Rattus norvegicus: one gene and its partner. The protein of the gene in region 2 interacts with the protein of the main gene of each other region in a pairwise test. Links are inferred from orthologs where the notes say so. Each region holds a gene or a part of one and is shown on either strand. Other genes may lie near its edges.

The links.
Region 1: the proteins of Cibar1 (region 2) and Cby1 interact in binary tests that used the Homo sapiens proteins (3 or more experiments, as listed by UniProt). The two-hybrid records come from large-scale screens. The link is inferred for Rattus norvegicus from reciprocal best matches to the Homo sapiens genes CIBAR1 and CBY1.

What each region holds. Positions count from the first base shown.
Region 1 is NC_086025.1:113,095,783-113,100,319, reverse strand, and holds the start of Cby1 (protein chibby homolog 1), read right to left. Parts: upstream 3,009-4,537; 5' UTR 2,965-3,008; exon of another isoform or gene 2,793-2,964; intron 2,418-2,792; exon of another isoform or gene 2,145-2,417; intron 936-2,144; 5' UTR 899-935; coding exon 821-898; intron 1-820. UniProt on the Homo sapiens protein: Inhibits the Wnt/Wingless pathway by binding to CTNNB1/beta-catenin and inhibiting beta-catenin-mediated transcriptional activation through competition with TCF/LEF transcription factors.
Region 2 is NC_086023.1:30,426,877-30,431,333, forward strand, and holds the start of Cibar1 (CBY1-interacting BAR domain-containing protein 1), read right to left. Parts: upstream 2,882-4,457; 5' UTR 2,819-2,881; coding exon 2,586-2,818; exon of another isoform or gene 2,168-2,585; coding exon 1,933-2,167; exon of another isoform or gene 963-1,932; coding exon 942-962; coding exon of another isoform or gene 849-941; exon of another isoform or gene 66-848; coding exon 1-65. UniProt on the Homo sapiens protein: Plays a critical role in regulating mitochondrial ultrastructure and function by maintaining the integrity of mitochondrial morphology, particularly the organization of cristae.

The DNA of each region.
Region 1 (4,537 bases), on a different chromosome or scaffold from region 2:
AATGTCACTAACAATGGCAAGTCAATATTTTCTGTGACTCTCCAAAATAAACTTGATTTGGGCCGTGGGCAGATTGTGGGGTGCACACCATTAATCCCAACACTTCCGGGGCAGAAGCAGGCAGATCTCTGTGCGTTTGAAGCCATCTTGTTCTACATAGAGAGCTCCAGGACAGCCAGGACTACACAGCGACTCTGTTCTCAAAGCAACAGCAGATTTATTTTTATTTTATGTGTATGAGTGCTTTGCCATCCCGTATGTCTGTGAACTTTGTAAATGCAATACCAGAAGAGGCCAGAAGAGGGTGGTGGATCCCCTGGAACAATAGCTACAGAGGGTTGTGAGCCATCATTGGGAACTGGGAACCCAGCCCAGATTCTCTGCAAGAGCAAACAAGGACCCTTAATGGCTAAGCCATCTCTCAAGGCCCTGAACTGATTATTTTATTTTATTTTATTTATTTTTGGAGACAGAGTCTCTCTTTGTACCCTGGATGCCTCGGAACTTGAGTAGACCAGGCTAGCCTCTTGATCGCTGAGAGTAAAGGTGTGCCACGATACGCAGCTTGAATTTGATCTTTAAACATGACTGGAGTTAATTATTTGAACAAGTTCTGGAACTAAAATGTAAGTCAGATTGGACAATATCACATGGGACCATTTCACAATGAGGCTGGCTGTCATAGCTCTTGAATAAACACCGACAGTAGTTCCCATGCAGGAATTCAAACTTGACTAATAATATAAACTCCGAGGATGCCCTCCCGCAGTGTTGCCTCTCTACCGAGAGACCACTCATGCCACCCCAAGTCTCCACTCACAGAGTGCAGGTTAGAGAGAGAGGCCGACTTCCGAGGAGGAGTCTTCTTCGGGCTGAATATGCTCCCAAAGAGAGGCATCCCTGACTCAATGAGGAGACACTGGCACTTCTTTCTCCTAAAGTCAGAAAAAAAAAAAGGGACCTCACTTCATTGTTCTCTTACCATGAGAACATCTTACCCCTTGAGGATTACCAATCCTGGCAATACCTTCTGGGAACAGTCATCCCTTTAGACAGAACAGTAAAAGAAGACTTGAAGTCGGGGCTGGGGATTTGGCTCAGTGGTAGAACGCTTGCCTAGCAAGCACAAGGCCCTGGGTTTGGTCCCCAGCTCCGGAAAAAAAAAAAAAAGAAGACTTGAAGTCCTAACAGGTAGGAGCACCCATGTGCTGGGTGCTTCCTGTGTACCAGGAAGTGTGTGCTAAGGTCTTTGCATAATCTCATTTAACTCAACTACTCCTCGACGCGCCCCTCCTATTCACCCCATTTGATTGGTGACATTTGGACAGCCAAGGTCTTCAGTGGGAACAGGCATTGGAACCAAAGTTCGAGTGGCTTCACAGTGATGCTAACCTCAGGCAACTCTGTCACCCGTTGGCATCGTGTGGCGCACGGGAGGATATTTCTACTATTCCTGTCAGACAGTAAGAGCAGCACCAGGAACGCTAACTTCTGCATAGACGTCATTCTAAAGCCATGAAGCGATACTCGGATTTCACTCCCGGATCGAGAGTGGTACTTATAACTCAGTCCGTGTGTCAAGTCACCTGACTTGGTGAGGTCTTAAGGAGAGAGCCAGCCCAGGATGGCGCTGACAATGACACTCAGCACACTAGTTTTAATCACAGCACAAAACCCCCCTCATAAAATCCGTAACATCACGTAGGCTCGGGAAAGAGGCCAGCTTTTAAGTAAAACAAGTAAAGAGAAGTCATAAAACCACAAGGCTTCATGGCAGGTTTTGTTTTTTCAACGTGTGTGCTTCTGTGCTGTATGCGTGCATATGTGCGGGGGTATGCGTGTGCTTTATGAATACGTATGTGTGTAAGATGCAGGGTCTGGACGGGGACATCGGGTGTCCTCTTGGATTCCCTTTGGACGGGGTATCTCACTGAACCTGGAGCTACACTGGTGACCAGCAAGTACCAGCAGACCTGTCTCTGCCGCCAGCAGTCCTAGAATTGCACGTGTCAGAGTCCTTAGCAAGCTTTTGACCGAGACGTTGGGGGACTTGAATCCAGGTCCTCATGCTTGAGCAGTAAGTACCCACATTCACTGAGCCTTTCCCCCAGGCCCCCTCACAGACTCTTTAAACACACACACACCCTTCAAGGCACAGGACATATTAGTGCCCAGAAAGATGCTCCCATATCAGCAGCTGCAAGACCTCTGGATGGCTGGATAGGCGATTCTGCTGAGATCCTAGGATTCTTTAGTGAAGCTCTCTCATAGAGGACCCAGGGCCAAGAAAGTTAAGGGCTTGTACCTGGTTTCCAACCAACACTGTTGCTCACCCTCCGAGCGTCGTGCCTTGTGTCTGCGGATTCCTGGAACTAGAATTACTGGCGTTTGTGAGTTGGGGATCGAATTCGGATTCTCTGCAACAACAACCGGTTCTCTGTGTCTCAGAGCCATCCCTCCATCCCTTGAGTCCCTTATAATCACAAAGAACAGCACCAAGCTCGCAGGTTAAGAGTGCTTTCATGTTTACAAATTACTGGGACATCAGATGCTCAGCACGACCCTGGGAAGTAGATCGACTTGTCTCCCTTTTCAGGAAACTGCACTTATTGTGCGAAGCTTTAGTTTGCATCGGGCTATAAAACACATTATCTTCCTTCTGACAAAAAAAATTAAAGGAAGCATCTTTGGTTTTCACTGGATTCTCAAAGGGAACGTGTCTCGAAAAAGTTAAGAGCCAGCCAGTCTCGCGTCTGCAGGCTCACGGGCCACAGCACCTAAGAGTTCAGTACCGGTTAGAAGACCTTCAAAGGATGGGTCAAAACACCATCTCCGAGTCACCGTCGCAAGATGCACCAGGGGAGCACGCCACCACCGGGCCTGCCCGCTATCCTCTCCAGGGGTACCCAGGCATCCCACCCACCACGACTGATACGGGTATCCGCACGCTGCTCCCAGATGTACCTGTGTGCAAAGCCAGAGTCCAGAGCTAGCCCTCAGGGTTCTGCAAGGATCCGCCCAGGCCGCGTCAACTGCCGCGACCGCGATTGGCTGGCACCCGGCTCCCCATCGTGCGCACGCGCGGCTTCTCTGGTTTCTACCACTGAGGACAGAGGGAAAACCACCTCCGAGACGAGCCTCCGAGAAGCAGCGAGGTCCCCTGAGTCTCCCTCGGGTTCATGAATAGAGGAAAGCCTCGAGCACGTCTTCTGGAGATACACACAAAGCCTTGTGGCATAGGCCGGGAGAGGCGTGCCCCCTAAACGTGTTGGTCTGGTCCCCGGGTCGCCGCTGTCGCCATAGTAACCGTGTACACTGGCAACAAGGCAGGCTGAGAGCTGCTTTGTTGTGTTAAAGGAGTACGTGGTAACCCTGGCTGGACTCATAGTAGCAAAATGGCCCGACCTGCGACTCCCCCGCCCCGGCCACAAAGCAAACCGCGCCCCTTCCCGGCGGTTTGGGGTCGCGGATGCCGGCGGCCATCCGGAGCTTGGTCGGGTCGCCCGAGGGGCGGGTGGCGGAACTCGCCCTGAGGCTTTGGGATTCTGCCGAAGCTTTCAGGTAAGACAAGCACGACGACTCCCTGCCAATAGCAAACTGGCTCCTGCCAGGCCTGCCTCCTCCACACTCCCACAAGCAAGGGAAACTGAGGTTCAGGGAAGGTCGCCTAGTGAACAAGGGGCAGAGAAACTGGAGAGTCAGTTCTAAGGGCCGGTATTGTAGCTCAGTTCGGTAAATGAAGAAATGGGCCATTCAGAAGGCGTTTCCTATCTGCCTAGTGGGTGCACGAGGTCATCCCAGCCATAAATGACAGGGATGAGCGTTCTATGCCTCCAAACAGTTTTCCTCCACCTTCGTCACACAGCATTCGAAGAGAGAATTCCACATCAAAACCCACCATATCTGGTGTAGCAATCACTACAGAAACACAAAGCAGAGCACGTTTGTAAATTGCGATCATTCTAGCAGTTTTTGGATGTTGAATGCAGAGCCTTGTGCACGCTGATTCCGGTGATATCCTTGAAGCACCTTTCATATTTTGAGATAAGGTCTCACTGGATACTCCTATCTCATCCTCCTGCCTCAGCCTCTCAGTGCTGGAATTACAGACACACACCCAGCCTGGCTTCAGACCCCTACTCTTTTGTTTTGCTTCATTTGTTTGAGATTTGAGACTGGGGCTCACCATGTAGTTCTGGCTGGTCTCCAACTTAAAAAGACCCTCCTGCCTCTGTCTCCAGAGAGCTCAGATTAAAGGCTAGGGCTACCATACCCAGCCCTGTGCTTTTAAAGGTCAATTCAAAACAGATAAAATTAACTTGAGTATTATTGCATTTAACTGGGTTTGTCCAAAACATGATTAAACAAATATCTTAAATTTTACCACATGTTTGTTTTTAATTTTAAAAGAAATTTTACCTTCTTCAGTCACGCTAGCCAAACTTAAGGACTTTGTTTCCCTGTGTGACTAGTGGCAATGGGCCTGGGCAGCGTCCAAGGAGCGCCTTTCCAACCTTGTTGTCCTCTGTCTGGGTGG
Region 2 (4,457 bases):
TTCATCTTTACAATGGTCCCATAAGCTTTCAAAGGTTCAACTACTTTGGCTTCAAGTCTTTCAACCTATTGAAAATTATATAAAATATAACTGAAAAGAAACATAGAAATATCAAAATTTAAATCCTGAAATAAAGATCTACGTTGTTTAATCTGAAATAAATAATGCACAGGCTAATAAGTCTCGAAATTTTAAGTTACAGCTTTCAGAGGTTTAAGGCATCCATAGTTTCAGTACGGTTACCATTTTTATGTGTTCAAACGTATACTGTCAGATATTACAGACATCACGGATACTGACTCCTAATTCAGATAGCTCAACTGTCCAGAAAAATCAAAGGTGAAACATACAGCGAGGAACATTTAGAGGAACAAACCCTCAAAAGCAAACAGCTTCGGGATGATATATCAAATCCCAGAGAACAAGATCAGTGGGCTTAGTGTTGCCCATCTGCCAAACTCTACAGCTGATCTCTTTTCATCAAGAATTAAAGTTTCTCAAACTCATTTAAATTTTCATCACAAAGTAATAGCAATTCTTTTAATAACATTAGTAAAAGGAACTGAAGAAAAAATTTATACAAATACATATACAAGAAAACGATGGGGCACTGAAACTTTGTCAGGGTGAGCAAGGAAATGACATCTATTCCTAAAACAAACATTTTACAGCAAATAAAATCCTTTTGAAAAAATGACACGTTTACCTAATCAATCCATTTTATTTCATGTCAATTCTTTAGTTTCTAGAGATGATGTTATGTGGATGTTTCATTTTGAAAGAGTTTAGGAAAATGTAAAAAATAATGACTTAACTATTCAGAATTCTGAGATAAGTGTTATGAATATTCAGGACAGCGTAATGCACAGCAGCTCAGACTCCACACTGTGAGGTTTATCCACGCCTGCTCTAACAGTTTCCCCTGTCTCTCCCTTGCCTACCTTTGCCATGTTCATTAGCATCTCCACCATTTGGTAAGCAGGGAAACAGAGCAGAGCAAATGCAAATCAGTCCACTTTGCTATTTGATAACTAGCATAAAAAATTTCTAGAAAGGGGAAATTACTGGTAAAAATAGAACTTTAGGGTTATCTGTGAGTAAAAACTATTTCTGAAACATTCAGTCTCCAGTTACCATGTATAACTGAGTATTGCTTGTTATAGAAGAAGTGTATGCCAGGAACTCAAGATTTTTCTTACAGGTATCCCTGAGTGATTAGTACTCAAGTTTTGTATGCATAATGATGACAAGTTCATATTATTTCTCTCGTTTTAATTTTCAGTAAAATTGTTTTAGGCTTTAGACATGAGAAAGATCAATGGGACTTGTTACAAAAGTTAAAAAAGCAATGGAGTTTGAACATGCCAACTTTTGTTAAGCTAGCTGGCATCTAAAAGAAGTACGTGAAAGTGCTTATGCAGTATTAAGAAAATATTGGTTTTTAAAAAAGATCTCCCAAGATCAAGGCTCTGGTCACTCAAAGCAAACACACAGCTAATCTCTCGGCTGTACCACTTGGTTTGCTTCTTGCTCAACTTCCAAACCATGGTAATATCAGCAACATGTAGCCCATCCGTTAGTAATTTGTTATCATCTTGACATGTTCAGCATTTCCATCTCTAGTCATTCTTTAAAACGCACTTGGCCCACCCAAGCCGTAGAGATGCTTTCCTTCCCCACGAGTGCTTATGCCTGCTCCCTGTTATCCTGCTGGCAAATGTAGCTGTAAACTCAAGACTTCAAACACACCTGCCGTTTAGGTTGAAAGCTATCTGGTCATAGAAAGGTTCCGAATAGAGGACCCACGGTGTTACAAATAGTAAAGACATTTATCAAGGGAACTTTTACCACTGCTAGGTAGGTTACCACGGAACGTCCACAATGCCTACACACTACTTCTTGGGCCAATGACACCAGAACCTCACTTCATACCTCTGCCTGGCGGTAATCTTGAAGTTTGGCAAACTCATCGGCAAAGTCTTTCAGACCCTGCTTTAAATTTGGGGTCTCGGTAGAGGCATACAGGTTGATTTCATTCACCAGGAGGTCGGCTTTGTCTCGAAGCCTGGCAGTTTTCCGTACATAAGCAGCAAAGATTTGGCAAAGCTCTCCAAAATGCTTCTCCACATTTGTGACAGCATCCTGCAGTTGTTTTGTTTGAGCGTCTCTAGAAAAAGGAGACACAGAACACTGTTCTTAAAACAGTAAGATGGTGTCCCGGTTAATTTTATATGCAAACATTCCCGGGATATCCTGAAGCCCTGAAGGGCAACATTCCCAACTCTCCCAAAGGTCCGCCCTTCTCTAGGACCTCATGCAGGTCTAGCCTAGGACCTTGCAGGCCTGGGGAAGGGCCCGGGCCCGGTGGACCGTGAAGGAGCGGCCTCCTGGGCTCTGTACCGCGGCGGGGCCGGGTCCAGCTCCTGAGGACCGGTCGGCCCGCAGACTCTCTCGGCCGCGGAGCGCCACGGGGACCGTGCGGCCTCCTCCAGCCCCTGCCGGCTTCCAGGCCCTAGGCCCCGCTTCTCTCGCCCACCCGGCCCTCTCCCTCCGCCGGCCTGCACGACGAGGCCTCGGGTGGTTACCGGTCATCCAGATTACGCCTCAACATCTTGCCTTTCGCGCCGCCGGGGACCCGGGATGGGAGCCCAACGAGCGCGGCTCCGGGCCGCCAGGGCGCGCGGGAGCAGGAGACGCCGCCACTTCCACCGGGAGCCGAGAGCGCGCCTGGCGCGCCGCCGCTCCTGTCCGGCGTTTCCGTGGCGACGCGGCGCGCGCCCCGGCGGTCAAGAGAAGGGCAAGGGAGACCAGAGGGCATTGGGCTGATGGAACATCAAGCATCCTCCTTCAGTGCAGCTCTCTAGCCCTTCGGGGCCGCTGGAAGCAAAGGAGGAAAAACAACCCACCAGCAACCGGAAGGGGAATGTGAAAATAAAGGTGAATGGGGTTCAGGCTCTGCTTCTGGATGTGCGGACTTAATGCCCTGCTTGTCCCCGCTTCTTTGTTAAATAATGTGTGGCTCGTGGAAGCTGCCTTTGGGAAAGAACCGCTCTACTCTATAAGTTAGATTTCTATTGCTGTGACAAAAATCAGGTTGGGAAGGAAAGGGTTTCTTTGGCTAACAAAGTCACAGTTCTTTGAGGATCTCAAGACAGGAACCTGGAGGCAGGAACTGAAGCAGAGGCCATGGAGCAACACAGCTTGCTGGCCTATTCAGTTGACTTTCTTCTATACCTCGGGACCACTTGCACAGGGCCGATACTGTCTACAGTATTTCCTGGCCCTTCCACATCAATCATCAATCTAGAAAACAGCCTACCGATCAATCTGACAGGGACATTTTCTGAATCTAAGTTCCCTCTTTTCAAGTAACTCTAACTTTGGACAAATAAATCAAACAGAAACGAACAACAATAACGAAACCAAACAAAATAACATCAGCAACGAATCTAGGCAGCCCAACAGAGCCTACTGCTTCATCATTAAATTTCATCTCTTCCCCCTGCAGTTAACTGAGTTTCTACTTTGTGAAAAAGATTGTTAGACCCAACTGAAGCGTGGGCCTGAATGAAACCCCCCCCCCCAGTTAAAAGAGACACAGATAATCTGGAGCCTTCCTTTAACTTCTGAGGTGGAGGCTTCTCTTCTGAGTGAACTCATAGTCCAACTTCGAGCTTTGTCTGCTTCTCGAATGCCCATAGCCTCTGAGAATAGAGTCCTAACCTAAGGTCAGGACAGTTTTTGCTCTAGAAGAGCTCACAGCCTCGGTGGAGGGATAAAGCTAGCCAACAATCAAACACATATAATACAACCCAGAAATGTGCTACTGGGTCAAGTTTTGTTGTATAAACAAATTATAAGACCTGGTGGCTTCCAAAAATCCACTAGTCAGTTTGGGATTGTGCAGATGGCAGGGATAGTTCTTTGGTTCTGTTCTTTGGTCCAGAAGGTGACTTTGCTACCAGCTTCATCATCCCACTGAAAGCTATGATGTTGAGCAAATGAATCCTGCAACTGGGAGGTGGGCATCGGATGCCTAAACCCCGAATCTCACCTTGAGACCAGTAGGAGTAAGAATTGCTCCCTCCTTGTTCTGGACCTGCATGCCACCGTGGTGCGTGTGTCCTTGTGACCCCCACCTCTACCACAGTTGAGGTAGTCACTGAGCCTAGTGGCTGGATTACAGGTTTAAGCACCTGGGATTCCTATTCAAGCAAATGAAGCATTCCCAGTACCCCAGTACCAACCAATAAGGTACACTCACGCTGAAATAAATCCTACCCACCACCAAAGGTTTATATAGCCCTTAATACCCTTGAATAAAGAGAGCTGTGACTCTGGAAACCATCTTGGAGAAGGCTTATTTCTCCCTGACACGCCAGCCAACGGAGTTCCTGTGTACCAAGAACCCCCATACCCTCCCCACCCCCCAGTAATTTTTTTATTCCCTTCATTCT